Linked DNA regions of Styela clava. The protein of the gene in region 4 interacts with the protein of the main gene of each other region in a pairwise test. Links are inferred from orthologs where the notes say so. Each region holds a gene or a part of one and is shown on either strand. Other genes may lie near its edges. The genes, in order: elongation factor 2-like, DNA repair protein RAD51 homolog A, 26S proteasome non-ATPase regulatory subunit 7-like and DNA repair and recombination protein RAD54-like.

Region 1 (7,785 bases), on a different chromosome or scaffold from region 4:
TTTTATGGTTAATTTTTAAATTCTATTAAGTTGTATGATTTCCATTTCTTTCTTTGTTAGCCTGAATCACATTAATATTTCAACAACGAAAAAATTGACCTACGCCATACTCACCGTGATCCAATCTTGTCTCATTATCATAGATCTCTTTTAAATAACCAAATGAATTTGCTTCTGTTGAATTCTAATTTATTGACTAGTTCAGGTTATATTTATATAACTCTTGATCTTATCAGTATCTCGATTTTATTCTAATTTTTTTTCCAAATTGGAATTTGTTCATGAAAATTTTTAGGTACTTCCACGTTCAAAAATATGCTAAATCTGAAAAAGGTTCTTTCTTGTTTTCGATTCGGTATGCTATTTATAACTTGCCCCGTGCATTTTTATATTAGCAATATTGCCGTGTCATACTGCATATTAGTCTTGCTGCGGGTTTTTATCCTCTTCACTAAAGAGCTAACCTGTACCATTTGATTGAATTAAGAGTATTCAAGACATAATCACACATTTATAAAATCTTTTTGGACACGTTAGTGGACATAACGATCGTTTCAATATTATGTTGTTGTTCTCTGACACTTTTTGGACACCTAGTGGAAAACCTAAAAAGTCGCTTTTCTCTTTGATTACTGAACCAATTGTTTTGAAATTTTTAGTGGTTAAAGATGAAATTTTTCTTCAGAAGGCTATTACTTTTATTTATTCTAAATATTTCTGTTAGCTCTGTGAGATTTGTTTTTGTTTGCTATGAAGTCACCGAACGTTCTGCGGACGCATATGCTGGCACTCCTCTTCATGTTCTTTTGATCACGTACCATCGAACGTCGGTGGTTCGTAACGAAATCATTGCTTTGCTAATATTTGAGGAAAGGTGAATGGCGAATAGTGCCGTACTTGGTGTTATATAACAGTAGTGACTCGTATCGTTGGTGTTACTACAGTCTCGGACCAGCTTGCAATTTCAATTCACGCTGTCACAAGACAGGAACTTTTAAAGATAGAGCAGTTCCGGTACCGTAACACAGCGCGGTGATACTGAACTAACTCGTAACTGTCTCGTAAAAGCGTGGCTTGCAGTCACTGTTATACCTGAAGTCTTTGAATGTTGGTGCTTTTCTTGGGATGGTAAACGTGTTCATATATTTGAGCATAGCTCGCTTGTTCTGAACAACGATCAGTTTTGATTCGAAGTACTCATCTTCCTTGTTAAACGGCTCATTTAATTATTATATAGCTGGTAACCCATGGTTAATTTCCCTCACATAAAAGGCTTGGCTAACGATTCAATTCTATGTTAATAGTTTGTAACTGGTGTCTCCTGCGTGTTATTCCCTCAAGTTAATACTGAAGGCAAAGTCTGATATTGTTTTGCTCAAATCTTGATGTTGTCGGGGTGACTGTGGTTGTTCGAAATATTAACTTTTTTTTGCAACTAGTTGGCTAATCAATTTCAAATCTTCAGAACTTTGTAAAAAGAAAGAAGTTGCTGGTTCAGGAGTCGGCAACCTTTTGTCGCTCGCGTGCCAAAATTAAGGGTTGCAAGTCTTGGCGGGCCGCATAATTTTTCGAAAGTTAACAAGAACGGATGGCTGACTTAGTCCTCTTACTTGAAGAAAAAAATTTACAAATGACATTTAATATCACTCTTTTTTTCTGGCGGCACACTGGATGAAGCCAGGATTAAAACAATTTCTGAATGGGAATCATTAATCCGAGTTCTCAGCTTGTTCTTTGTAATGTTCATTTTCGAAAATAATTTTTTGCACGCATATGTACTTCTAAACATCGATGTGGACTTTTGTCAAATTTGGATAGTTAGAAAGTTAGATTCAGAAAGTTTCATTCACCCTTTGCACTTGCATCGAATATGAAGAATATGATATTATAAAAAATATAATCGTCAAAATAGCCGTTTTGTTACTATAATTCAGTGAAGCATCGCTGGCCGGATTATTTTACTCCACGCTGGATCTGGCCCGCGGGACATAATTTGCCGCCCCCTGCTATACTGGGACGGTATGTTAGTCGTTGACTGGAACTGATTATTTCACCCTAATTTTGGCCCCAACTATTCTGACATGCTCGATCGCGTGAACTTGTTCGCCAACATCTTTTCAGCAAACTCGATGTTTTCAGCCTTTGCGGTACCAGTATCGATGCGCAACCATCATCTCTTTATTTGAGCATAGTTTTCTTTTTTTCATATGTATTAGCGAGAATACAGGTCTCTTGCATGCTTGCATCTGTCACGGACGAAGATGTTGCTACCGTGGTTGTAGATGAATCAAAGACTCAAGGGTTCCGGATTGGTTGTTTATTGTACGGCAACTTCAGAATATCAAACTTGAAACATATAAACTGATTACATCACTAAAGAACTAAAAACACGACCGACCTCCAGCCCGAAGAACGGAGAAAAGAGAGCGAATGACATAGTTTTCCTCTCACGTGTAGTGATTAGTCGGAGTCCAGATCCGACAAAACAGCATTGAATAAGGGTCAATACAACATGAAATATATATATACACAATATAAACGCGGACGTTATGGTCCGCGACACATCTCATGTACACATGAATCTTCCGCAATCATATTTTTATTACGGTAATTGTAACAAATTAGGCTATTTAATTATTTATTTAATGTGTTTTCAACGCAATAAGCTATCTACAACAATACTACATATTGCATAATATGGTACTCGCAGTATGTGTACCAGGTTAGGGTTAGGTCATAATTTCAGGTACAAATACTACGGGAGTCACTTGGCTAGTCCCCAAACTCGTGATAGAACTAAAATTGGAATGAAATTATGACCTACCTAACCCTAATCTGGTACACATACTACGTCCCGGTGTCCGCCATCTTGGTTCTTATACTTCGGAAGTACCCTTTGATGAACCATGGGCGAGCATATCAGTTCCCAATGTCTAAGATAATATTGACGGATCCAAGCATGGTTTAGTTTTAATATTGTTACATTCTTTTGTGCAAATAAATCTGCATTATAAAAAATGTAAGCGCAAGATTAGTGGGACTAAAGCTCTAAGTGTAAAGAAAATGTTGACGGAATAGTATCTAATCTGTTGTCCGCGGGTATAATTTGTTGACGTCAGCATAGTTCTTCCCTCCCCATTCAGTCTCTGATGTTTCGAATTTTACAAGACTTCCCACTAAAAAGTTGTTGAAAATACAAGAGATTGGTGCGCTTTATGCTCATTTGAAAATTGATTCAATATCATAGCCAATGGAAACGAATAAAAAACGCAGGTTTAACACTCAACTTTGACATCTTTGTCTGTTTGGGAAAAGTGTGTGCAGATTCTCGAGTCAATACCTAATTGCGTTGTACAATCAAAGCGTTTGATTCAGCGACGCGCAGTGGCGTGTCCAGGTCAGACCAAATTTGGATAGAATTTACACATTTATCCCGTGTGAGAAGAAAGCCGATATGGCGAATCATGGCCTCTCGTCCGGTTACCATTCCATGTCGAGTATGGGATTAGTTAGTTATTCGTTTTCGGAAGCATGGACTTGATAAAAGAGGATGCCGTAATCGACCAGTGGTTACGTGAACCACCCTATTATAATTACTTTTGGTGATTAGTAGTATTTAATTTAATCTAGAATCTAATCTGGCTATATTCTAGCTATGGTGAATGAAGTGATCTAGTCTAGAGTCTAGTCCACCTTTTCATGCATCCAACTTGGCAATTCCTTTCGGGAATTTGGCGTTAGGAGACTCCAACTATAATCAACTTGGCGATATCGTTTTAGGAACATTGTTTTATACATTTCATTCCTGTTAACCAATTCGGTATCCAATTTCAAAATTCATACAAATCTATCAATATGGTTGGGCGAAATTTATTTTATTTGTATAAATATATTCTTTTTTACCAAGTAATATATTTTTTTTACTCTTTTTCCTAGTTTTTTTTTGTCTACTTGATTTAATACGTGAACAGACTGCCATTCCGGCTAAACTTTACTAACTAAAATAGGTCTTTCTTTAGCGCCAAACACGGTATGTTGTGGTCCCGGTATTCTGTTATCCTATAATAATAAGAAACACGAGCAGTTGGAGCGCATATTTCACAGACCACAACGCGTTGGCAGAATGGCATGGTATGGTGAGAAAGATGCCAGCAGAAACACCACGACCATGAAAATTTCAATGAACGATTATCAAAAATCTTGACTGTGTCTATCATGATAAAAATATCAAAAAGTATATAAAATATATTCTATCCCCAAAACTGCATACGTCTACAATGAAAGATAACTAGAAAATTACAAAAAATGCAAATTTTTGCTCTGGTGATCACATTCCCCATGAGAGCTAATGTTAAAATCGTTTTTGGTTCGTTTTTTGTTCATGCCACTTTCGTTTTTCGCGCGTTGGATGGTTTTCGAATTAATAAGGTCTAATAACCTGATACTTTTGGGTGAGCGAACACGTACCACTTATTTTGGCATCACCTTTTAATCTGAAATATGTACGTTTTATTTAAACCATGCTCAAGGGTTTGTTCGTTTTTCCGATTCTGTAATCAGTTTATTTATTTTGTTTTTATCAATTATTTCATCGCCTTTATGCTGATTTATGAAGTCAAAATAAACTTATACTCATATATGGGGATATTCCAGAATGAGAATTTTTTTTGCTTCATTATTATTATTATCATTTTACTTATTATATCATGACTGTTTGATCTGATCGACAAATAATATCTCTTCCTCTCTTATTTCATCCGTGTAGGGACGCAATAATTACTGTTGGATTTCGCAATATTGTTTCGTGGTGCTATGACGTAATAGGTTGGCGTTACAGCTTTGTCATTTCATAACGTTCCTTTCCCAAGCCCTTCAGTTCGAGGGTTGATTTTTTTACGCGGAGTGAAGAAACGAAGTCAAAACATCCAAAATGGTGAGTTTATCTTCCCTTTTTTATGTAATTTTGAGCTATCATGTGTCTGTCGATATATTTCGCGCAATATGAACGAATAATATGGCTTGTTGAGCGTGATTTAAGTGGATATAACTCTTGCGAAGGTAGCCTATAACCTGAACGGGAAGAACCCACTTTTCAATTTAGACAGAAAAATCTGACATCCAGTCTATGTAGCGATCTACGTATTTTTTATTTATTTTGTAAATGCCAGTCCTTTGCTATATTATGTAAAAACAGGGTAGATATCTAAATCTTCAATCAGTCAGTGGCAATGGTGACTGGTAACAAAATAATAAAGATTGTTTTATATGATTCAACACCATTTGAGGTTGGAGGTTGACTCTCCGATATTGACACTGAAATGTCATACTTCAATATAATAGTATTAGTAATTTGGGCTCAGCAGTGTGGCGCATCGCGGTCTTACTACTTACTGAATAGAGAGCGAAACAGCGCAGAAGAGAGGGAAAGAGCGCAAAACAGCGCAGAAGAGATGGAAACTTTTTTCTTTCATTATTTATTAGCGTCTATGAAATTTTAAACAATTTGATGGGAGGCAACATACAGTAGTAGGGAATGATCACAAGTTTACACAGTATGTGTACCAGGTTAGGGTGCGTCATGAAGTATGTGCACCAAGATGGCGCACAACCTGAACACAGTATGTGTACCAGGTTAGGGTGCATCATGTTTGGTTATTTAAAGATGTTGAAGATTACTGACATAAACTCGTGATCATTCCCTACCACTGTATACCGTTTCCCATCAAATTGTTTAAAATTTCACGGATGCTAATAAATAATGAAAGTAAAATGTTTCTATCCATTCTGCGCTGTTTCGTGTTCTATTCAGTAAGTAGTAAGACCCGGCGCATCGTGCTACTGTGCTAAGCGTTGGGAATACACTCACCCAGTCATCACCACCAGACCACCCCTCTGATACCCTTTGTGGGTTTGGCGGTTTAAATCCTGGGAGGATAAAATGTGCAAGAGGATTGCTGGACGCCTCGCCGTCTTAGGGTAGTATATGTATGTGTATTTTTACCTTTGTGAGTGTCTTTTTTAATATAAACTGTCGGATTAGGATTATATACTTGATTTGGAAAAATCAGGTTGTTCAAAAGGGCTCACTAAATAGCTTGGTGGCCTGTTGCACGCTTTTGCTGTAGACTGATGTTAAACATAATTTTTATTTTTAGGTGAACTTCACAGTCGATCAGATCCGTGAGATCATGGACAAAAAAGCCAATATTCGGAACATGTCTGTTATTGCTCATGTAGATCATGGTAAATCTACATTAACAGACTCCCTTGTTAGCAAAGCTGGTATCATTGCTGGTGCGAAAGCTGGAGAAACTCGTTTTACAGATACGAGAAAGGATGAGCAGGAGAGATGCATTACAATCAAGTCAACGTAAGTGAGCTTTAAAACAAATACATTTCTCAATATACAGTAGGGCACAATTCCAAGATCCATGAAAAAAATTAGTCCTGCAAATGACTGGATGATAAGTCAATCATGACATATGTTGGCTGTCACATGACCAAAATTTCCATTCCTCCAGACTGATTTTTGCTAAAAAAATTCAAATACTGTAAATTTTTTTTGCCTTGCGTAAATTCAGATTATTTTTTTGGGGGGAATCCATGGGAATGTTTCTAGATTGTGCGTCCTTAATAGTTTATTAGGCAGTACCGGTTTGGTGTTATGGAGACTTAGATTGTGTGTCCTTATTACAGTACGGCACACTATACAAATCGGGTGACATTTTCCCGTTTCAGAGAAACCATTTTACAGATGATCAGACACCCCTCCTTTGGGAGACGTCTGGAATTGTTGTCCCTCAATATCAGTAATAATACAGTATAATGAAGTTGCGCAATATACTACAAAAAAGCGCAATCTAGTAACGTCGTCATTGAATTCCTTGGGAAAAAATAATCAGATTTACCGAAGGAAAAAATTTTTACCGTAGCTTTCGGAAGTTTTTAGCAAAAAACAGCAATTTTGGTCATGTGACTGCTGCGATCAATTTATATTATTATTGAGACAAGCATGGCGCGATATGAAGCATCTGCCGAGGTCCCAGACGCCCCGCGTTTGTGAGACACATAGAGTGTTTGTTTTATTGAGCCTAATGGAGGGAAATTCTTAAAATTTGGATAGTGTGCTGTACTGTAATAGTTTATTAGGCAGTACCGGTTTGGTGTTATAAAGACTCCACATCATCTCGGTTTGCATTCATTATTATAATTGATGTCTTTTAACCTGTTTTAGACGCCCAATCGAGCCCAATTTTGAATACCCATTTTTATTAATGTCATACGTGATACGACCCCCAAAATTCACCCAATATACAATAATTATATACCATTGGAAAGGTATTTTAGAGTACTATACGCTAGATGTCACTGGAGGACCGTAAACTAAAACACCTCTTTCAAGAGGTCTCTCGTAACGTCAAAAAATAACAAAAATATTTACACTCTCTCATTCTATCAGCTGTTGGACGTCTATAGCTATTGTAAAGCTGAAATGTGACTATACAGTTGACTGCACATTGGTTTTCTCTTTCATATGATACTAAACGCTTTTCCATAGCGCGCGTCGTTCAATCGTTTTGGAAATTTTCCGTTTGAGAAGTCACCACATCGAATCAGGCCAGGCTAAGCTTGATAGATCGATCGGTTGTTTGATTGTGCTTTATCGCGTTGAAAGCTTTTGTGAGTCATAATAAAACATTTATTATGAATCATAAAAGCTTATAATCGTCAGACAAGGAGAATTTGCGAGATAAAACGCCTAACTTTTTTTCGGTGAGGCAGCTG
Region 2 (7,467 bases), on a different chromosome or scaffold from region 4:
CTAAATGGCTTGGCTAAATGGGCCACCTGTTGCATACCCTGGTATAAAACATTCCACCAAGGCGGGTCAGTTAAATTTGCCTAGAGGGCCGACCTTGATAAGATATTCCTGTTATATAGTGAACATCTCTTGTGCAATATTATTTTAAAGAACGTTACTGACTAACAAAAGAAGTTAATAAAATGTAGATTGAAAACTATACATATTAAATTATCTCCATGTGAATACATAGGCTAATAATAATGAATTTCTCATCCTAGTGGGAAGCCATTATCAAACCAGGCATGATACAATAAATATATCACATAAAATATACCATATAATACATTGATTAATTCAATTGACTGTATATACAATCCTTTTAATTCAAAGAGACAATTACATTGGCAGACTAGCATAAGCACAGTGCTTTATGACATGATAATAATATTAAAAACAAAAATATGTACAAATAATAAAATGGCTTCAGCTTTGCTTCGTTAGAATTATTTCCACATTAGGGTATCTTCGTATTATAGTTAAGAGCAGAAAGTAAAAATAATAATAATTTCTAGGTAATCACATAAGTAGAAATTTTCTAACACAAATATAACTGTGTTGATAAGCATAATGAACAGATAAGGCATCATTGGCATTGGTTTAATACAAGATTCAATCCACCTTTGTATGACCGTTTTTGTGATACCCATTACTAATACCATTTTTCGATGTTTTGCTGTTATTAAACGTGGTTACAGTAGAAGATTTTATTCTAAAAATATCCGAATACATTAAACTGCCAGCGAAAACGAATGATGTCCCTATCCAATGATAAAAAGTAAAATCATTCTGAAAATACAGCACTGAAAACAGCAACGATATGAACTTACGTAGGGTTATCAGCAGCGTAACCGTTAGCGAAGTGCATTCAGTAACGAGATAAAATACGGAACGAATGCAAAAGTATTGCGTCACAACATTGATGATGACGTATTGCCACAAAATTGGAATTTCTAAATTCATTTGAAAAGATAAAACTGACTCTGAAACAGTGTTCAGAAAGTTTGTAAAAAATGGCACCGGCTCAAGAGGTGATTGATTGAATATTTCTAAATTCCGCGCAATGCTTGGTACGAGTAGCAGGAAGAATGGTAACGGTAGAGCATGCTGTGAAAATAATTTATTTTCTGTTAATAAAACATAATGAAGATAGCAGTAATACAATATATATACATGATCTCTCTTTTATTTTAGTATTTATCATGGAAAAATACGAGTCTCATTTCAAAATGTGCAAGAGATCAATACTCAAATAAATACACATTGTTGCACATCAGTACCGGTACTTTAGGGCTTGAGATCACAGAGTTTGCTGAAAAGATCCGCGGTCAAACTTATGGAGGAAGTCAAACAAAGCAGAGTGAAACAGCAAAAAAAAAGTAAAAGCCTTCAAGCAATTTCTTTCATTATTATTAAATATAGAAAATGTGGTAAAGGCATTTTTGTCCCCAGCAACAACAATAATTTAGCAAACAATCCATATGTAGACTTCTGAGAATAACGAACAGTGGTGTTCCATATATTGTCAAAGGTCAAATAAGTTGGTGAACTCAAACTAGGCATGTTTGTTTCTTAGGAATTATGATAAAAAAATATCCATCAGATATTGGCACCTACGTTCATTATTTGACCGACCTCATTATTAATTAAGATTATGTCCAACAACTATTAATCAATAACTCAGTAATCGTATCACTTACATTGTAAAACAAAGTTTCTCTTGGATGTTTCCCATATTTGATTGCGATACTTTCTTGATAAATTCCCATTCCAGCAGATACAATGAGTGAAATTGTCAAAAATATGACTCCAATTAATGTAGAAGCATCAGTTGAATGACTAGACATTGTGGTGGCCTTTGAAACACTCTTAGATATAATGTCAACATTAGCAATACTTATAAAGATATGAAATTTATGTTTAGTATATAAAAAATCATATTTCAAATTGATGTACCGGAAATCCAATGATTGTCAATCATTTTGTCGGCTACACACTTCATTCAGTTATAGAAAACTTTATTTTAAAATTTGAATTTCCATTAAACTTGAAAATAGCCAATACGTATCTCAAATTATGGTAATGAAGAAATCAAAATAACAAAATAAAATCATAGCGTACAGATAACGTAATTACAAAAATGATACACGCTACATACAACTAGGTAGGCTATATTCGTAGCAAAAAAAGAGAGAAATACTCAATATTTGGGACAGTATTGAGGTCTGTGTAGGATTCATGAAAATGTCAAAAAAAGTATGGTGATAGCCATCTTAAAGTGTTGAAAATTTAAAATATCGATTGGTCTGCTAGAATCAGAGACAAACAACTACATTGAGTAAAACAATTTATAGGCCGGGCCTCGTACATGTCCAAGTCCAATAATCCAAAAAAGAGCTGCAGTTGGTCAATGCTAATTATAGTCGAGCAATATTATTCAAGCATTCAATCTTCATAAACATAACTTACTGTAACATAAGTGCAAATCAATATACCCAGTGACACAAATGCAACTGAAAGGTATTTTTGAGATGAGTACGACCTCTTCAATAAGAAAGCACCAAGAAACATGTTCGCTACAAGAGAACCCTGAGAGAAAAAAAATATAAAAAATTGTATAGACTGTCCATATAGTGGATGGAGCCATAACTGACCAGACGTTTCAATAATCGCTTTTTAATGGAAGGAACTTCATAAATCTATGTATGTATATGTTCGTGCCTAAGAATTAGAAACTTATCTTTTAGCAACTTAGAAACTTTATGGGCGGTAATGTAAATATGATGCACACTACTCGCTTGATAACAATAGAAAGAATAATAATTATCATATTTGTTATACTTACAGATTTAAAAATCATATGAAGAGGCATTGGTATATTGAAACCTAATGCCATATTATTAGTAGCACTGGCTGTGAAGAACAGTAGAACCATGACAACATAGTTTCTAAATATAAGACAAATTGAATTATTTTCTGTTACAATTAAAATTTGTTTTTTTGGGGTGCTTCTATATACAGATATATGTCTCTGGATAAGACTGTGATCAAGTAGTATGAAGCCATTAAAGTTTAAAAAAATGCTTGTAAAATTACATTTTATATAGGAGGCAATTACTTGAGACTTTTTTCTTGTTTTGAGAATATACACCATATAAGTAAAATCATGACGACAAAGTAGAGTTTAGCTATAACTTTTTTTTTTTATCGATAGGCCTATTTGATTCTGTCTTTCTTTACTTTGCACAATAAGAAAAGCAAAAAAGCCACATACTTTAAAGGAACATGTCTAGTTTCCCATCCGAACTTCCGATTAGCAATAAAACCTTCTATAGCAATAAAGGAAAATTGAAGAAAAAGCAGGATATTTCCACTATCAGGTGAAGCTCTGAAAAATGAAAGTTAAATTTCAGTGAATTCTTATTTAAATAAAATACAAAGTTTGAGTTAAAAGCTGTGTAACTTAGCCAGATAACACAAAGGGAAATCAAAGCTCTGGCTGCTTTAGCACAGAAAGATGTGATATATATAAAAGTATGCCATAGGCAATGTTACAGAAAAGAAAGATTAGACCAAACTATAAAACTTCAAACAGTAAGTACAAACAGAATACTACAATCATAAATACAGATTCATCCAAGCATAAAATTCACCATACTGCCATACCTGCATACCGGTACACAATATCAAAATTCAATAACTCTAGCCAAAAAAGTTATACACTCACTTTATCAGGTGTTCAAGAAAAATTACATTTGTACAACACGAGGCAAGAAGAACTCCAACGGCAAAATACATTTCGAACATGACGAGTGAAGAAGTGATAGGCTACAGTAATATAAAACGAAAGATATTCCGTGCTCCTAAATTTGTAACAATTAGCTATGTTTATATATGTTTTTATTATCAACTACATGCTGTTCTGCGAAGAAAAATACATTGTTATAGCTGTCTGAACGCTGGTACAATATAAAAATCTCGCGAAATACAACTGGACACGTAAACTTCCGGCGTCGAAACTCGTCTGAACAACGAGACGGTCTGGCACGAAATAATAAATATCGAAACTGTACGTCATAGTTCTTGATACTGGCATCCTCGGGGAAAATTTATTATGAATTACGTAAAAAAAGACGTTTTGTTGAAAACCGCCAATAAAAAAAATGATAAATATGTTATGTTGTTCATTATTATAATGTTTTATAAATATTTTATATAAAAGAAAAGTACTTCCCTACGGCGTTTGCTACATTACTTTTACAATACTCGAAATATCTCACAATTGTAAAAAAAAACTTACACATATGAACACCGTTTTTTTGTGTGACTATTTGGTCTGTCTATGTTAAATCAAACTAAAGGACTGTACAAGTTATATTTAAACGTTGTTTTTTCTTAAGTTTACGAAAAGTTTGGTCAAAATAATTGTTATGGTTCAGTGGATCTAAAGCGCGAGATTTGTTTTGGTAAATCGTCTCGTCTTATTTTAGTATTTCTGTATTCTGAGATATCGCAGGCGTCGTTCGCAAACCTTTATTTCAGTAAATATGGCAATGCAAGTACACGAACAACAGGAAGATGCCGAAGAAGAGGAGGTTATGGGCCCACTTCCCATCGCAAAATTAGAGGTAAGTTGAGTTAATTACCGTAAATCAAGAAATTTTCATATTGTTCTATTCGCAAATACTGGCAAGCCCTGAATTCGAGAGAAAAAAAACAGAAATAGGTTAAATAGCAAATTTAACAAGAAAATTAATGGCTTTTGACTTTTCAACTATTCTATATCAGAAATGTCGGAGAAAATCGTTTTTTAAAATCAATTCTTAAATTATGATTTTATCAATACTGCATTATCTGGATACCGGTAAAGGTACTTTATAAAATTAAAATAGGCCTATCATAAATTGAGATTACACAACCGCATACCACATTATGCAAAATCTATCTCTTTTAGCAATGTGGAATAAGTGCAAGTGATATAAGGAAACTTTCAGAAAATGGATACCATTCTGTGGAAGCACTTGCTTATGCTACGAAGAAGGAACTTGTTGGAGTAAAAGGAATAAGTGAAGCAAAAGCTGAGAAATTAACGGTAAAATTTATTAAAGGACATTGAAATTCTATTATGTGTCAAATATTTATGTGGAAATCACTCTGACGTTGAAAAAGTGAAAATTAAATAATATGACAACGATTTTATTTGTTTATTTTTATCAATAAGTCTATCATATAACATTACGGCACAGTTCTCTGATTTCAAGAATAGCTCCCACATTGAAAGACATTAAATATAAGAGTGAATGCAAACCCCTCTTTCATGAGACAGTCTGGGCCTCCATACTGGCACAAATTGGCAAACCGGTATTGTGCAATAAACCAGAAGGAAGCACAATCTTCAATCTATATCTAAAAAAAACACAATTTTGATCATGTGACATTGATTTAAATTATTATTGAAACAAGCATGGCGAATTCTGGCACATCTGTCGTCGATCAAGACACCCTTATTTCAGATTAACCAATTGTTAACCAATCAGCGAATTGTGCCCTACTGTATTCTACATGAAACATTACAAGATCTTCTTTGACCCTGATCATGAAATCTTTATATATTTTTTTAGCTTGAAGCAGCGAAATTAGTGCCGATGGGTTTTACAACTGCGACAGAATTTCATCAAAGGAGATCGGAAATAATCCAAGTTACTACAGGATCAAAAGAATTAGATAAGTTATTACAAGGTATATCAAAAAAACTTTTGTACAGAGATTTGTTCGACACGAAGTCGTGAGTCTCGTCTAAAAAGTGTTTCTTATTTTTAGGTGGAATTGAGACTGGATCGATAACAGAACTCTTCGGAGAATTCAGAACAGGAAAATCACAAATTTGTCACACAATTGCTGTTACATGCCAGGTCTGAATCTATATTGCGGAAACTTTTTTTTTTTAATGTCTTCTTTGAACTATAATAAGTTGTATTTTATTTAATAGTAATACACAATTCAACTAGCGTGAGTTTTTAGTACAGTTTTATTCCATTTTTCTCATTTTAGTCGCACTTTTATCTACCGTAACTAGGGCTGTCCAAAATCGAATAATTTTTTGATTCGAATCGAATATTTTCGCCGAATCGAACCGAATAATCGAATATTATTGCCCAATAGTAAATCTGTCTCTATTATACAATAAACGCCTGCCCTTCGATGTTGTGGTAACGTATGTGCAGTTACATCAAAGGAGATCACACGCTTGTATGAACTGGTCAAAAAAATTGGAGAACTCCAAAATTTGGGTCTCGAAAACTGTTGAGTGTTAAGAGTAAAAATTGCACTATTCAAAAATTGCAATCTCAATTTTGATGGATTCAGTTTTAGTAGGACATATAAAGCTTGTAGATGCTATTTTAATCCTATTCACTAGTCTTTATGTTTTTTTGTGTAAATTTCAGCAAAATAATAACAACCATCAATATAGATAAAACTGTTGCTCAAGTTCAAAATTGCATTTAAAAATTCCAAGCTAGTTTGATGACAATATTATTTGAGGACTATAATATTGTTAGTGTACAACAGCCATCAAAATGCAAGAGTGCAATTATTTGTCTTGGTATATAGATGGATAATACAGTAATGCCATCATGAGAAATTACAAATTCCATTTAAATAAGGTATTGCCATCATAAGGATCCCAAAACACCTGTTTCAGCTTTGAGTTGCCTGTACCATGTTCCTATGATAACTAACTCAACAGCTTCAAATCGATTCTATTTATAGAACTATCGTTTTCTAAATTGTCTCCTTTTTCTCCTTGTTCTCTCTCAAAAACGTCACGATCGACTATACCTTGTTATGATGACCACGCATGAAATGGCTAATCACGTGCCACCGGGCGGGCATTAGTAATGACATGTTTATCACAAAATGAAGGCGAGAAAAATATCGGGAAACCAATTAAGCAAGCCGGGAGCGAGAGTGGTCTGAGCTCGGATCGCCGCCGCTTGCCCGATGAAAAACATCCCGTAAAGGTGGTTTCCGCTTTATGTACCGGTACCTAATTTTAGCGATTCGAAAATTAGCCGAAAAACGATTCGAATAATTTGCGATTCGATTCTATTTCGAATATTTGGTTCGCTTGGACAGCCCTAACCGTAACAAATAAAAGTTACCTATTTCCATGTAACAAAAATTATTATAGAATAAGTTAGTGTATTCTAATTTTAAAAATGATAGCGAAAAATGCAGAATGTTGTTATACTTATACCCATCACAAGTTTTTCTCAGCTTTTTCTGAAGTCTGCTTTTGTCATATTCACCTAGTTTAACAATCCGTATACCCTTGCTGAATAAAGATCCAATTGTTTATCCAAAATATCGCTCCCCTCTCAACATGTAAAAGAATATTTTTGTTGAAGTTTTTTAATTTTTGGACAT
Region 3 (7,759 bases), on a different chromosome or scaffold from region 4:
GTCCCAAACGGTTTTGGTATTCTGAAATTCTGCAACAGTAATGGCGTGAACTGAATAGAATTTGATATAAATTTGATTTGTCACTATGGAAAATAACTTGAGAAAACAATAATTCCATTATTTATTTGAAATTTATTTAACTGACATCCCTGTTTACTACCAAGAAGATATTAATTAAGTGATCATATTCGAACTTACGCCCAGCCTTTTTTAAGACACCACCTTGTTCTCAGGAAGATGTAAACTTGGGCCCAATATTGTACTCTTGAGTGGCTCATGTGCTGGGGCCTTGCACACAACAAAAATCTTGTAGTAGTCCTAAATGAATACTCCCGTAGTGTGTGTACCAGGTTAGGGTTAGGCCATAATGTTACTTCGATTTTTCTTGTTTTAGTTTTATTCCGGGCTGTCTGTTAGCCACGTGAATATACCCCCTGCCCATAGTAATCAGTCCCTTTACTCAACTTGATGAAAGTAGGCTAACAAAATTAGTTACCTCCATATTGGTGCACACACTCCTTGAGCGCCCTCAATGAAATAATGCTTTATGCTGTTCTATGCATATGGTAGAGGAAGTGGATAACTCTGTCGTTTTCCAATACCTTTGAATGGGTGTGATGGTCAAGTTGAAACCCCATTCCTACCTACCGTACACTGAGGTTGTAATAAGGCCTTGCCAGAATAGCAAGATCCCAGTCCTTATTTAAATATAGCTCCCTTGTATCATAATCGGTAGCTTCTTTTGCATAGTCTTGTTCGAAGTAAACTCATGAAAATAACCCCTTTCTCTGCCCTGATATACTGTAAATGCTTTCAGCCCTGCCTTGATTGTTACCAAACATTTTTGTAAATTACAATGTATTGCTTGTTAAAATAAAATGAATTTCATAAAAAATATTTGTAATATTATAACACATAGGAACACGCTTTAAATGAGAAACATGTTGTCTGCCTCTGATAGGACATTTGCGCTTTATCCATTACACAATGTTGAGTAGATCAGAGACACAATGTTAAATCGTTTTGCTAAATTCTTGCTGTCGTAGTTGGAAAAAAAAATCACTGCTATCAGAAATCATTGGATATCAAATTCTTTCAGAAATAAATATAGGGAAATTTGCAGGGCGCTCAAATAGCATTTGAGCATCTTGAAATTGAGCATTTGATCAGGGTGACACGCGAAAAAGTATTTGATGTTGATGAAATATAAGGTTCAACGCCTTTTTATTCGAACTCTTAGCCTATGAGACGTTTTTATCTGTCAAAGGTTGTTGTTTCTGATAAACCTGTTGCCCTCGGATTGCTTCCCGATATAAGTATAACGCACTTTTCCTGCGGCTGCTCTAGGTGTTGGTGGGGAAAGCTGTTCGTTTTCAGTTGTGAATTTAACATCAAATTCTTCGAAGGTAGTTGCTTCTAAAGCAGAAGGATGATCTCCCCTTTCCTCCTCTGCTACCGCTTGCCAGTCTATGATTTCTAGTTTCGGTAAATATGTTGCGATATAACGTCGCACTTCCGCATAATCTTCATCAGTATATCCTAGTAATGGATGTCTGCAGGCAGCGTTTCCGAGTAAACTCAAGTATGTTAAGTTCTTGCATTTTTGTTTAAGTTGTGCCACCAATTTTTCGAGATTAGTTAGTTGGTTTTTATTTAACGAAAGTGTCTGTAAAGTGTTCATTTCCGGAAACTCGGTTTCGTCGTCGATTTCATTGTTATCTAAATTCAACTCTTGCAGATGGACGAACTTCGATAAATCATTGATATTTTTGAGCTTATTATGGCTCAGGTCGATGCACACAGCTAGGCGGGTATACCTCAATAAATGTTGTGGAAAATTCTCACAATCATTTCCGCTATAACATAACCTATTTCCTGTAATCGCCACTTCGTCGACGTCCTCCGATATATCTATATCTTCATATATAGCCTCCATTCCATATACCTCAGTGTGATGCCATACTGCTTTGTCCGGTCCGCATACAAATATAAAGTCTTGTGACAAATACCGTATTGCAGTAATGCATGTTTGTCACAAGTTAATGTACAACTACGAACCTACGATAACACGCATATGCATCTGTGACGATTAAGTGACTAGCTTGTCCAGTGCCTGAACAGATCCGGAATAGAGGTCGTGGTTGGTTCTTCATATGATCTGATCGTCTAATCGGATTCCTCTCTCTATGATTGTACAGAGAAAAAAATTCTAGTTAAAGCATTTTCCACGATCTCTGAATATGCATTCAAATCTACATACCGCAAATTTGATGCGCGGGATTAAAATTTTTACATCGGCATGTTTGTTTTGTTTTTCTTGAAAAATTAAAATTTCTTAATTTATTGATTTGCTTTTATTTCTCCTTTTTCGCTTTATCCCAAAAAATAATTTGGCGATCCCAGTCATGCGTGAAAATCGTGAACAGGCAAATAAATAAAATGCTGATTCATGAATAAGAGCTGATTTGGAATCTAGCTCTTACTTTATCGAGATAGTTTTTCGTCAATTTTCATTGTTTATTTGACATTTTCATTCAAATATGTCGAAAGGTAGAGGAAGAGGGCGAGGATCGGGTCTTTCTTTTAATATTGAAGCCATAGGATTTGGTAGAGGCGATGCGTTGCCGACGTCTTTGCTTCAACCACCTCCTGATTATCCCCCATTGAAAAAGCGACCTGTACCGCTTTTGACAGGGGAAGATCAAGACTATTTACTTGCCTTGCAAAAAAACTTTGAAAAGACAATGCGGGATTCACCATATTATATTAAAAAACAAGAAGAAAAAAACTTTCTAGACAGATATTCAGATAAATATCGAATTAGCAATCATTCAGATAACGAACTAGGTTGGGAACCAGATTGGAGTCGATTCCCGGCAGAATTAAAAATTGAAATGAAAAGAAAACGTAAAGCAAGCAAAAAAATTGCACCAAAATTAGTCGAGAAGAAAAAAGCGGAGTCTGTTAACGAAGAGGAGGTCAAGAAAAAGCTCGATGAGCTTGAGAAGAAAGATCAAAATCCAGAAGCGCAAAAGGCAGGAGACGCAAACGATACTGAGTCAGAAGTCGAACTTGAAATTGACGAGGTTGATGAAGATGAAGGAAATGATTATTTAACTTCGTACTTTGATAATGGAGAATCTTATCTTGATGAGGAAGAAGATACATTAGATGATAAGGACGGAGGAATCTATTGATTAGTCAAATTTTTCTTTTGAATGAAGTACTCTGAAACAGTGAACTTACCCGAAAATAATGGAAATTGATCTCGAAGCGACTACCAAAGTGTGAAGAGGTGTCAAAGTGGTACTAATTTATCATAGCATCTTGTTCCACTGACTTGATCATCGGAAATAGATTGTTCCTTGTTTTCCAGGTAGTGAGCAGGCAGAGTTGGAATAAATAATAAGATGAATGTATGGGTGTGATTGGGATTTCTAGATAATATAAAAACATTTTTGGGATTTTGTTGATGTTTTAAAAGGAATGTTGAGTAGAATTTTCCAAGCTGAACTTCGTAATCAAGTTCACCAAAAGTATTTTTGCTCTTTATTCAAAAATCAATGAATTTGAATTTTTTGTGCAGTTAAATAATGGTTTATGCTTTTAATGAAGATAAAACTTCATTTATTGTGATTCACCTTACTCTTTCATGTTTATCTGAAGGCCAATCTGTTTTATATTAATCAATTGCTCTTCATCACGATAAGAGAAATACTAAAGAATGAAATAATTCTAGCTGATCAGTTTTCATTGATTTTCAATACAGGGGGAAACCGAATGAAACTATAATAGACTAAACAAACCAGAGATGCACAACCCAAATGAGGATATGTGCCATATTTTTCAAAATAATCTTGTCGTGTGCCAGGCACAATCGTTGGTATTGTAATCAAACTCATGTAAAACACACATAAAACAAATTTGAATCATAATACATAATTCTGAATGACTGCTCATTTGAAGACGTTCTTGTTTCGAAGTGCAAGTGAATATAATATATTCGAGTCATACAGTAGTCTCTTTGGTGTGAATGAATATGCCGATTTAGATTTTTACGACATAAACACACCTTATTACCATCATCGATATGCGGAAAATCACGTTTCACCTATTGGTACTTAACTGCTCGCTACTGTAGGCTTGCCTAACTATTTATTTTCAGCTACTACCTTGCAATTTGTAGATAAACATGACCATTCCAGTGTCTTTCGATATAAACATGATTTTTTTTATGTATATCATGAATATTTTTTTGTTTTTACAAAATCGTTCGTTTTCTATGTTCAAGGGTATGCCGTGCCATATTTGGCACGCGTGCTTCATGTTGTGCACCCCTGGACTAAACTATAATTTAAGATATGTTCCTTTCAATGGATTGTCATATAAAGAATTATTTCTAATGCTCAGTTCATTATTATGTATCGCATTTATTTAGAATATTTATTTATTATTTTGGTATATATTGTTCATTAGAATAGTAGCAAAAGTTGACTGTCAACTTGAAATAAGTAAAATAAAATTGTTCCATCTATCTTACTTTTCTCCCAAATGGGTTAACTTTTTTTTTCGGGTATTTTCTCAAAGCAGAGTCATACTCATTTTGTTGTAAGGAGACGAATTCTTGAAAGAAGTTACAGGCAGGCACTGAAATTTCAAGAGCTATTAAAAGTGAAACTAGAATTATGGTGGTACTTTACGCATCAGTAAATACGAATATATTTATTGCAAATATGAAATTATTTTTGAATTACAGCTTTTAAAATTACTTAGACATAATATTTTAACAAAATGTCTGCGATTCCAATGGATCATGTTGTGGTTCATCCACTCGTACTTCTGAGTGTTGTTGATCATTTCAATAGAATGGGAAAGGTAGGAAGTCAAAGCAGAGTTGTTGGGGTTTTACTTGGTCAATGGAAAACAATCGATGGAAAGAAAATTTTAGATGTTTCTAATAGTTTTGCAGGTAAGTCTATTCCTATTTTGTAATGTGTTCTCTTTTAATGAGGCAGTAGTCAAGCAGGTAAATCAACAACCAAGACTGCTATAGCTATTGCTATACTCATTTTTGGGGGCTCCCGAAGTATGCGAACCAAGATGGCGGATATCGGAATGTAATATGTGTACTAGGTTAGGGTTAGGCCATAATTTTAGGTATAAATACTGCGGGAGGCTCTTGGCTAGTCTTCGAACTGATAAGAGGACTAGAATAAGGAAAATTGGAAAAAAATTATCGTGCAACCCTAACCTGTTACCCATGTTACGTTCCGATGTCCGCCATCTTGGTTCGCATACTTCGGGAGCACCCATTTTTGAATATAGGGTATATTTGAATGCATTGAAAAAATAACTCTATGGGTATCTCAGCAGGGAATAGATTTACCCTTTCTGGTTGATTTGATCTGCATGTCGGAAAATAATTGCAAGTTTGAAAATACGTGGCCAAATGTGGCTGTTGATTACATAGAAGAAAACAAAGTATTCTCTTGCGTAATTGATGTGTATTATGCTCTTGCTGTGGAGAGAGCTAGCCCTTTTTAAAAATTTTAGTTTTAAAATTGTACATGGGTTAAACCAGAAAAAGAAGGTTTAGAACCCCTGTATTTATACTTATGTCATTTGAAACATTATTTTGATTTTTAGTTCCATTTGATGAAGATGTCAGAGACAGAGAAGTTTGGTTTCTCGATCACGATTATTTGGAACAAATGTACAGCATGTTCAAGAAAGTTAATGGTAAATGCAATATTAATACAACATCTTATGCAACACTTTATTGGCGTGATTCTTTGTGCCCTGAAAAACAATTTTGACAGCCATTATACAGAGCCAATGAGCTCGTCTTTGCCTGACCTAACTTTCTGATTAACGCTAGACGAGTTGAGGTGTTTAAGGGGCTGCAAATATTTGGGATCGAATTTGTGAACCTACGCAGGGTAATCAGATATGCGGTGTATATACATTGATGTATGTGTTGCATATACATTCCGAATAGTAAGTTATCCGGTCTTGGCTATCTCTGTATACAACTCATACTATACATTATTATTATATATTAAATTATATATTGAATACTTTTGAATCTTCCTTTTCAGCTCGCGAAAGAATCATAGGATGGTATCATACAGGACCAAAGCTATGTCCTAACGATATTGCAATTAATGAATTGATAAAACGATACAATTCTAACGCAGTACTCGTGGTTATTGACGCAAAACCTAAAGAACTTGGACTTCCAACTGAAGCTTACATCTCTGTTGAAGAGATTCATGATGTATGTATAAAAGTAACTATAAATATATTTTCAGGTTTGGATTGTTGATGAGCGCTAGACGCTTCCAGTCACTATTTTTGTTTTTATCTTTGGCCTTCCTCGCTGCCTTGGTTTCTTTCACATTCTCTGCCTTTCTGGTAGTTTTTTCTTGGCGACTCTATCAGCAACGGTCTTTTACATGTAACAGACTGCTATATATTGTCATACATATTGTGGCGCTTTAGAAGTGTGTGTACCAATATGGAGGTAACTCATTTTGTTCGCCTATTTTACATCAAGTTGTATAAAGGGACTGAAACCTATGGACAGGGGTAATATTCATTTGGCAAACACAGGTGGTCCCCGAACTTGTAATAGAACCAAAATAAGCAAAATCAGAATAAAATTATGGCCCAACTTAACCTGGTACACACACTACGGGAGTACCCATATTGTTACTTCCAATTTCCTCACTTTCATTCCGCACAAAGCTCCAGACAAGCGATCACTAATATGCAAGATGGAGCTACTATTTCCAGAAGGTGCAGAATCTTTCTGATTTGATATTGTATAATTTGTTTCACACTAGGTAATACCTTGGTCCTGGAATCATAAATGCACAATGTCAAAATCAAATCTTTCAATGACCCTCAAATTAATCTATACTTTAATCATATTTAACTTTCATTTATCCACAGGATGGCACCCCCACTTCACGTACATTTGAGCATGTCCCAAGTGAGATCGGAGCTGAAGAAGCTGAAGAAGTAGGAGTTGAACATTTACTCAGGTATGTGCCGGTTCTGGGCGGTTTTTAGTGACACTGATGGTCTGCACCAGGGGTATGCAACCTTTAATGCAGAAGGGCCAGATAAAAATGACTGGGTGAAACTGCAGGCCACGCTTTTATTCAACATAGGCTTTCTAGTAGTTGCACGTACAAAAAATCGGTTAACTTGTTGATGTTATCAAATGTGTTGTTCGCTTCGCACAAGCTCAGGTATAATAGGCCCCTGATCTACACAAAAAGCCAGTATTGAACTGATATTTCTAACATTTGATGTCAACATAGAAGGTTGTGCATAAACATTTTTACTATATCTTCAGTACAAGCATAACGCCAATAAGAATGCTTATTGCTTTTTTATTATTTCGTACACTCGTTAGTTATTGAAATGTGTCTTGAGGTGGGAGCTTTGTTTTCCCTGATATTAAACCAAAAGTTTTATTTTCATACTTGTTATATACAATCATCATTCATAGAGTTTACGCGAGACTAACTCCCAATTCTTCCTCAATGCCTTCGCGCTAGTGGATCCCCATGCATATAATGCAAGGATGCTGTAGCGGAGATAAAAATACCATACTATGCAATCCAAGAGTCCTGCTGCACACTAACAAATATGTATTCCTGTAATCTTTCGTCTGACCAAAATCAGACTTCTTCAGACAAACAGTTTACAACAACGACCAATTGTTGAACTCATTCTTGTAAACTGCTTG
Region 4 (7,749 bases):
AATATTTTTCCCAACCTGGTAAATGTAAACTACAAATTAGCTTTCATATTCATAATCTATGATCAAATTGATATGATACCAGCTTCTTACAGCCTAATTCTTGTATACATTCCTCAGTTATCGTATAGTATCTGTTTCACTGCGATCATTACTCATATCAGCATATATACTGAACAAAAAACAATAATTCCCCAAAAAGTGAAACAAATCTTATGGTACTATTGTTGTAAAGTAACTTAACCATCATTACAAACCTGTTATATGAAATAAAAACTATGACTATTCCACTTCCGACAACATTCAGACATTGCGTCCCCGAATCACCTCGCTGTATGAATCCACTTTTTAAACTGCACTTCCCGGCAACAAATTTCAAAGTATTTACTTTTCAGACAGTCAAACATGATTTCATACTATTATGGTTACCTGTAACTTGAAGATCTTTACTAACCTGTTGAAAACCATGAAAAAAAAAATACAAAATCATCTCCATAACAGAAATCAAGTATGGCTCCATATACAGATATACCATATTTCCCCAAAAATAAGACTGGGTCTCATTTCAATTTTCTTCCGAAAAATAACACTAGGGCTTATTTTCGGGGGATATCTTATATTTTTATTTATTAAAAACAAACTTAAAAAGTAGAGAATTACGAGATTTTCAAATATACAAACTATGAACCTATATATATATATTATAACCTATATATGAACCTCGGTTAAATGTGATTCAAGCGAATTCTTTTCACTAATAAGGTTTGCCTGTACCTTCAAGATCATCACTAACCTGTTAAACACACAAAAAATAAGACTAATCCACACCTCATAACAGAATTTGAGTGTGGCTCCATATTACTGAACTGCTCAAGTCTGTGGCTCCATTTTCTATCCTGTATTTCCAGGCAATAAATTCTCGGTTAAATGTGATTCAAGCGCATTCTTTTCACTAATAAGGTTTGCCTGTACCTTCAAGATCATTACTAACCTGTTAAACACACAAAAAATAAGACTAATCCACACCTCATAACAGAATTTGAGTGTGGCTCCATATTACTGAACTGCTCAAGTCTGTGGCTCCATTTTCTATCCTGTATTTCCAGGCAATAAATTCTCGGTTAAATGTGATTCAAGCGCATTCTTTTCACTAATAAGGTTTGCCTGTACCTTCAAGATCATTACTAACCTGTTAAACACACAAAAAATAAGACTAATCCACTTCTCAAAACGAATTTGAGTGTGGCTCCATATTACTGAACTGCTCTAGTCTGTGGCTCCATTTTCTATCCTGTATTTCCAGGCAATAAATTCTCGGTTAAAGGTGATTCAAGCGTATTCTTTTCACTAATTAGGTTTGCCTGGACCTTCAAGATCATCACTAACCTGTTAAACACACAAAAAATAAGACTAATCCACTTCTCAAAACGAATTTGAGTGTGGCTCCATATTACTGAACTGCTCTAGTCTGTGGCTCCATTTTCTATCCTGTATTTCCAGGCAATAAATTCTCGGTTAAATGTGATTCAAGCGTATTCTTTTCACTAATAAGGTTTGCCTGTACCTTCAAGATCATTACTAACCTGTTAAACACACAAAAAATAAGACTAATCCACTTCTCAAAACGAATTTGAGTGTGGCTCCATATTACTGAACTGCTCTAGTCTGTGGCTCCATTTTCTATCCTGTATTTCCAGGCAATAAATTCTCGGTTAAAGGTGATTCAAGCGTATTCTTTTCACTAATTAGGTTTGCCTGGACCTTCAAGATCATCACTAACCTGTTAAACACACAAAAAATAAGACTAATCCACTTCTCAAAACGAATTTGAGTGTGGCTCCATATTACTGAACTGCTCTAGTCTGTGGCTCCATTTTCTATCCTGTATTTCCAGGCAATAAATTCTCGGTTAAATGTGATTCAAGCGTATTCTTTTCACTAATTAGGTTTGCCTGTACCTTCAAGATCATCATTAACCTGTTAAACAAACAAAAAATAGGACTAATCACCTTTTCATACCAGAATTTGAGTGTGGCTCCGTATTACTGCATAGCACCATGGCCTGGCCTGGCCTGGCCCCGATTTCTCCGTGGCCCGGCCCCAATTTCTCCGTGGCCTGGCCCCAATTTCTCCGTGGCCTGGCCCCATTTCAGTGGCCTGGCCCCAAAGCCACAAAAAAGTGACCACTCCCTCTCCAAATTTTAGCCTGATGCAAGAATAATGACACCAATTAGAGACATGAGAAAAAGGAATATTGGAGATAGGACCCTGGCACCAATATCAATAAAAGCAAGTCAAAGTTTGACTCCAAACTGTCATAGGCCTGCGAGTGATTAACATTATGATTGAGGGATCTTGTCAACTTTAATTTACAATCAAAGAGATCCTATCCAATGTCATTTTGTACATCTAAGATGTGTGCCACACAAATACAATATTTTTCTATACTTACTTTTGAAAGTACAGGATCAACAACCACATGCACTTTAAGCTTGGTCTTGTCAGCTTTCAAGGCTTCGTGTGGCGAAAGTTCAGGTGGTTCGAATAATACTAAAGCGTTCTCATCGAATGGGTCATGTAATGGTTTTCGAAGCAACTGCCTTTTTAGTCCAAGTTTACCTCCCAATGTTGGTCCTTTGTAGTTGGGTATCGGAATTTTGAAGGGTTTAGAAAGAATTCCTCTGATAAAAGATTCATGTGAATTTGCATCTGGAAACGTGCTGACATCATTGCAATTCGAATTAACTGACAAGGTTCCTAAAGGGTCACGAAAAGGCGATCGATATAGTTTAAGTGTTGAAGATGCCATTGGGCTTCGTGTACATTTAAAACAAGGTTGTTGGTTTGGTACATTTTCACTTTTCCGTTTAGTCAATGTTGACTTATTATTTTCATCTGAATATTCAACTTCTTGCTTTACTAATCGACTTGGTGCAAAACTCCGTCTCATTCTTTTAACTAGATTTATACACTTAGACCTATGTTGTAAAAAAGAAAAAAAAATCTCCAGAACTCGCATAAAACTGATATTGCAGTATTGATCATGTCTGAAAAATGATTAAAAACCTGAAGGATAAAAAATGACCGCAGAGAGATGACAAGACAATTTGATTTGAATCGTGACAAAATGATATCCAGTATGGCTGGTTTTGAAAACCGGCATTCAGACATTTGTCGCGATGGTAGGTATACGCGGAAATTCTGCTCCGTTTCAGTTATTTAGGGTCGATTTCGGTAATCGAAAAAACATATTATTGCCACAAGTTTGCTGTTTTAACTGGAAAATGGCCTGGAGGTATAATAAATGACTTTTAGAAGATATCTACAGGTTCGTTCCGGTAAGTTTGGGTAGATATCCTACCCTGTATGTTGACCATTTTGGCATATGTCATTTCTAACCCCCACCTGACTACAGAACCACGTCATCAAAATATTACGTCACTACAACGTCACAGTGACGAAACAAGGTCCATAAAATTATACGGCTTGTCATCTAAAACGTGCAGACGATCACCCAAAATCAAGCAAGCTATTTCTCTCGCTCTCTCGTCGTAACGATCCCGATGTGTGAAAGATCTCTGAGTTAAGCCGGTTAGTTTCGTGGGCGGAAATGCCATTTCATGCCATCGTAGCTATTCTTTGGCAAGCTCTAGGCTATCTGTCTATGGCGTGATTGTAATGTTGTAGTGACATAATTTTTGGATGAGGTAGTCTGGTGGGGGTCCAGACTGGATTCCATGGCAGGTGCACGCCCGAGGGCGCTAGCGCTCCGCAAAAATGCACGCGAGCGAAATCAATTTTGCACGCCGAAAATTTGCAATTGCTCACCAATGTAAATCAGTTTAAATGGTTTTAAAATCAATAATCCAGTAATATAAAGATGCCAAAATATTATACCTCCACAATTGTCGACAAATACCAGCTTGCAAGATTTGGTCTGATCGAAATATTGCGAAGCAAAAAGACCATGGACCTTTCCCCAACCTTTGACCCGCGAAAAATTCCTCTCATTGTTACGTCCTTTTTTGCATCTTGCTGATTGGCCAATGTCACGAAGTAAACAAGGAAGTCGATGCTCGGGGAAAGGTCCATATCGTGTTGAATGATAGGAAATAGGAATCCCGTGAGAATAGTTATGGACGAAAAGATCGCCTCCGCACCAATGGCCAAGTACGGCTCTGATTCAGCGTATTTTTCATACAATAATTTTACACGAATGTACTGAACAGTACCGGTATCTAAAGTTGCTCAAACACTCCCAAAATTAGTGACAAAGTATGAAAATAATGTTTGGGGTCAAAGGTCAAACGTCCATTTTGCTCTAATTTGATGTATTTTTTATCCATTAATTCTACGTAAAAACACTACCAAAATTAATGACAAAGTATGTCCATTTTGCTCTTGTTCAACGTATTTTTTATCCAATAATTTTACGCGGATGTACTGAACAGTACCGGTATCCAAAGTCGCACAAACACTCTCAAAATTAGCGACAAACTGTAGAAATAATGTTTGGGGTCAAAGGTCAAACGTCCATTTTTTCTCTGATTCAACGTGTTTTTTATCCGATACCGGTAATTTTACGCGGATGTATTGAGAGGTATCTGATGACGATGTCAAAGTCAGTTGCACGCGAGTGCAGTTGTTTTGCACGTCGTGAGCTATAATTGCACGCCAGGAATTCTTATTTGCACGCGGGAATTTCTGATTGCACGCCCGATTTCTCGTTCAAAAAGGCCATGAAATCCAGACTGGGTGGGGGTTAGGAATAACATATGCAAATGAACATGCGCCAATAAAATGATTGATAAAACAAGTTAAATAAAAACTGAGTACTGGAATACGAGGGTCTCATGTAGTTTCGTACCTAACGTACTTCTAGGAGGCGTAGCATAACAATTTTTTCATGTGTCAATCCTAACCCCCACCTGACCACACCATCCAAAAGTTACGTCACTACGACATCACAGTGACGTAATAGAGCCCATCTAACTACTGAACTATGCGAACTGTCATCCAAGACGCGCAGACGAGAACCCGAAATTGAGCAGCCATTTCTCACGTTTTCTCGTCGCTATATAGTCAGTTCTATATCGTCGGCGCCGATGCCATTTCGGGCGATCGTAGGAGTATTTGGCAAGCTCTATGATGTGATTGTGACGTCGTAGTCACGTAATTTTTGGATGGCGTAGTCAGGTGAGGGTTAGGATTGGCATGTCAAAAAATTGTTATGCTACGCCTACTAGAAGTAGTCTACGTTAGGTACGAAACTACACGAGACCCGAATATCATTATGTTTGGGTCAGTACTGCAGTAAGTTACGGTATGCAGATAGGCTATGGTTAAATTTTTTAGGCAAATAAGCATACATACAAATCAGGAGAGCAAACAGAACTTTAGATCAGCCTTAAAACGTACAGCAATTCCATAAATTGTATAGATAACAAAAATAATAATATTAGAAAAAATAAAAATAACGGTACTTGCCACACATCATACAGTCATATTACAGTATTAAGTCTGAATACGCTGACGTTATTTTTTCTGATACTGAAAAAACACAAATTAGATATTATAAGTAAGTTATAAGTTTATTTCGACTCCATAATCAGCATAACAATAAAATGATTGTTAAAAAAAAAAAATTATCGGTATTATATTATCGAATAATCAGGACATGCGCCTCGTTCAGTCGTTGGACACACACCAAAGAGACTTAACATACTCTCTGAGTCTACCGCTTCCAACTATCCCAGAAACCCAAATAATTCGAACATATTCATGTTTCGCGCTGAGCGTTGTGCAATACAAAACCGGAGTCGCTAACCGAAGTGACACACTCACTGACCGCCGTTGACCCTATTTACTGACCTTTTCGCTCGTCCCAGTGAGAATTATATGCTATCACCACTGGTATGTTAGTCGTTGATCACCACTGACTTCAGTCTAGCTTCATTTAGTAACTAATGCATTAATTCAGATTAATCACGTGTTTGGAGTCGCAACAAATCGAATTGTAGGTAAGTAAGTTTATTTCAATTTCCCATAAATAATACACACAAATAAAATTAAAAAAAAAATCGTGTGGAAGTCAACGCTCTACTTCGCAATGTAGAAACCTCATTAGAACCGCGTTTAACACGTATAATATCAAAGAGACAGCAGCAAATTTCTCGTTAAATTGAATTGTCTTCTTTTGTACCTACTATTTATGTCGTAATTGCATTTTTTTGATTATGTTTTGTGTTCATGACAATTTTTGGTCCGCCGGTCCGCAAAATTTATTTTGAAATTTTACCGGTCCACGAACTGAAAAAGGTTGAGAACCACTGATCTAAACAAAATATCTCAAAATAGTGCACACACGCTACGCCATTTTCAAGCACACATCAAAATTAGTTTACAGATTCACAGTTGATTTTCCATCAATTGATGTTAAGTATAATTTATGTGTCCATATAATGCCATCAAGTAAAGATCATTTTTCCCAACCAGATAAAAAGTCAGTTTTACACGAAATACGAATGAAAAAGAAAAGAAGAGAAGTTAGTGCGAAATACTATTTAAACGTATAACGACTGACGCTTTTTAACAGTAATGGACACAGTAATATTTGAATAGCATTTGTCCGTAGTTTCAATACTTTTGAAAAGCGTCAACGTCATCATAAGATGATACTTGTAAATAAGAAATAAGCAGAAATTTATTTTAAGCTGGCCAATATTAGGTCGTCAGATCAACTCGAATCATTTCATAAAACACTGAGGGGCCATTAAAAGTTCGACTATGGAAACACATACTACGTACGTGTACACATACTACGTTCCGATGTCAGCCATCTTGGTTCACATACTACATGAGTACTAATTTCTGTGGTGCCCCCTTCCACCTGGTGCCTAGAACACGTGCTTATTTTTCTAAATGGTTAACACAGATCCATAGCCGACTAAAAATACGCCCGCACCCGGTGACCAAATGTCAAAGATTATTCAAGTTGGCTTCCTTACGCGCCGTTTCTTGTCTTTACTGAATGAGTTGTGAAAGGTTCTGTTCCACTTCAAACTTCAATAGTAAATATATCAAATTTTATGAATTTTGATTAACTTTTCATACTAGATTATCATATTGAGAATAAACTTCATCATGCACATACACCGTTCGATCTACGCTAGTCTGCAAGACATGAGGATGGATCACCGATTTCAAATGAAGCTTATTTCTAAATAACACTTTTTGCATAAGAAAACAACAGCACATAAAGGGAAATGTATTGATTTCTTGCAAGAATTTAACACGATTACAACAAGCACAAATAATATGTTCAATTAGAAATTAGGAAGAGAAAAATGTAAAATAAAATTTAATCTTAATTCCACCAAGATACGACTCGAGAATTTGATACAAGGGGACTGACTCCCCATATGCAACGAAAATGGGTAAAATCAAAATTCAAGTCTTGCTGACGTTTCAAGAGGGACAAGGTTTATTTGAAAGAAAAAGAAATTGCATTTCTGTATAGTCCATCGCTGAAAATACCTTATTCCGTCAGAATTAGCATAAGCGGAAAATTATGGAATTTCACAATTTTCATAGCACGACAAGGAAGATTGATATATAGTATAAATGTAATTAATAAGGAATAGTTAAGGTAAGGTATTTAAACGGCTTAAAACAAGAAAACTTTTTCTAATGCAACCAAAACTGTATTCTGAGACCCGCATGAGCTATAATTGTTATTCATTACACAACATA

What was found.
Region 1: the proteins of DNA repair and recombination protein RAD54-like (region 4) and elongation factor 2-like interact in a two-hybrid assay, tested with the Caenorhabditis elegans proteins (2 studies listed by BioGRID). The link is inferred for Styela clava from reciprocal best matches to the Caenorhabditis elegans genes rad-54.L and eef-2.
Region 2: the proteins of DNA repair and recombination protein RAD54-like (region 4) and DNA repair protein RAD51 homolog A interact in a two-hybrid assay, tested with the Caenorhabditis elegans proteins (3 studies listed by BioGRID). The link is inferred for Styela clava from reciprocal best matches to the Caenorhabditis elegans genes rad-54.L and rad-51.
Region 3: the proteins of DNA repair and recombination protein RAD54-like (region 4) and 26S proteasome non-ATPase regulatory subunit 7-like interact in a two-hybrid assay, tested with the Caenorhabditis elegans proteins (2 studies listed by BioGRID). The link is inferred for Styela clava from reciprocal best matches to the Caenorhabditis elegans genes rad-54.L and rpn-8.

Annotation. Positions count from the first base shown.
Region 1 is NC_135257.1:16,652,949-16,660,733, reverse strand, and holds the start of elongation factor 2-like, read left to right. Parts: upstream 1-4,781; 5' UTR 4,782-4,930; coding exon 4,931-4,933; intron 4,934-6,155; coding exon 6,156-6,370; intron 6,371-7,785. UniProt on the Caenorhabditis elegans protein: Catalyzes the GTP-dependent ribosomal translocation step during translation elongation.
Region 2 is NC_135264.1:10,478,000-10,485,466, reverse strand, and holds the start of DNA repair protein RAD51 homolog A, read left to right. Parts: upstream 1-4,462; 5' UTR 4,463-4,586; coding exon 4,587-4,667; intron 4,668-4,993; coding exon 4,994-5,131; intron 5,132-5,660; coding exon 5,661-5,778; intron 5,779-5,859; coding exon 5,860-5,951; intron 5,952-7,467. Other genes in the region: nucleotide sugar transporter SLC35B4-like, read right to left, coding at 652-1,146, 1,740-1,907, 2,509-2,628, 2,885-2,987, 3,314-3,427, 3,767-3,846.
Region 3 is NC_135263.1:4,084,189-4,091,947, forward strand, and holds the start of 26S proteasome non-ATPase regulatory subunit 7-like, read left to right. Parts: upstream 1-4,759; 5' UTR 4,760-4,791; coding exon 4,792-4,969; intron 4,970-5,646; coding exon 5,647-5,739; intron 5,740-6,098; coding exon 6,099-6,277; intron 6,278-6,954; coding exon 6,955-7,046; intron 7,047-7,759. Other genes in the region: leucine-rich melanocyte differentiation-associated protein-like, read right to left, coding at 1,262-1,936; DNA-directed RNA polymerase III subunit RPC7-like, read left to right, coding at 2,541-3,197.
Region 4 is NC_135251.1:11,749,016-11,756,764, reverse strand, and holds the start of DNA repair and recombination protein RAD54-like, read right to left. Parts: upstream 3,004-7,749; 5' UTR 2,948-3,003; coding exon 2,450-2,947; intron 814-2,449; exon of another isoform or gene 255-813; intron 1-254.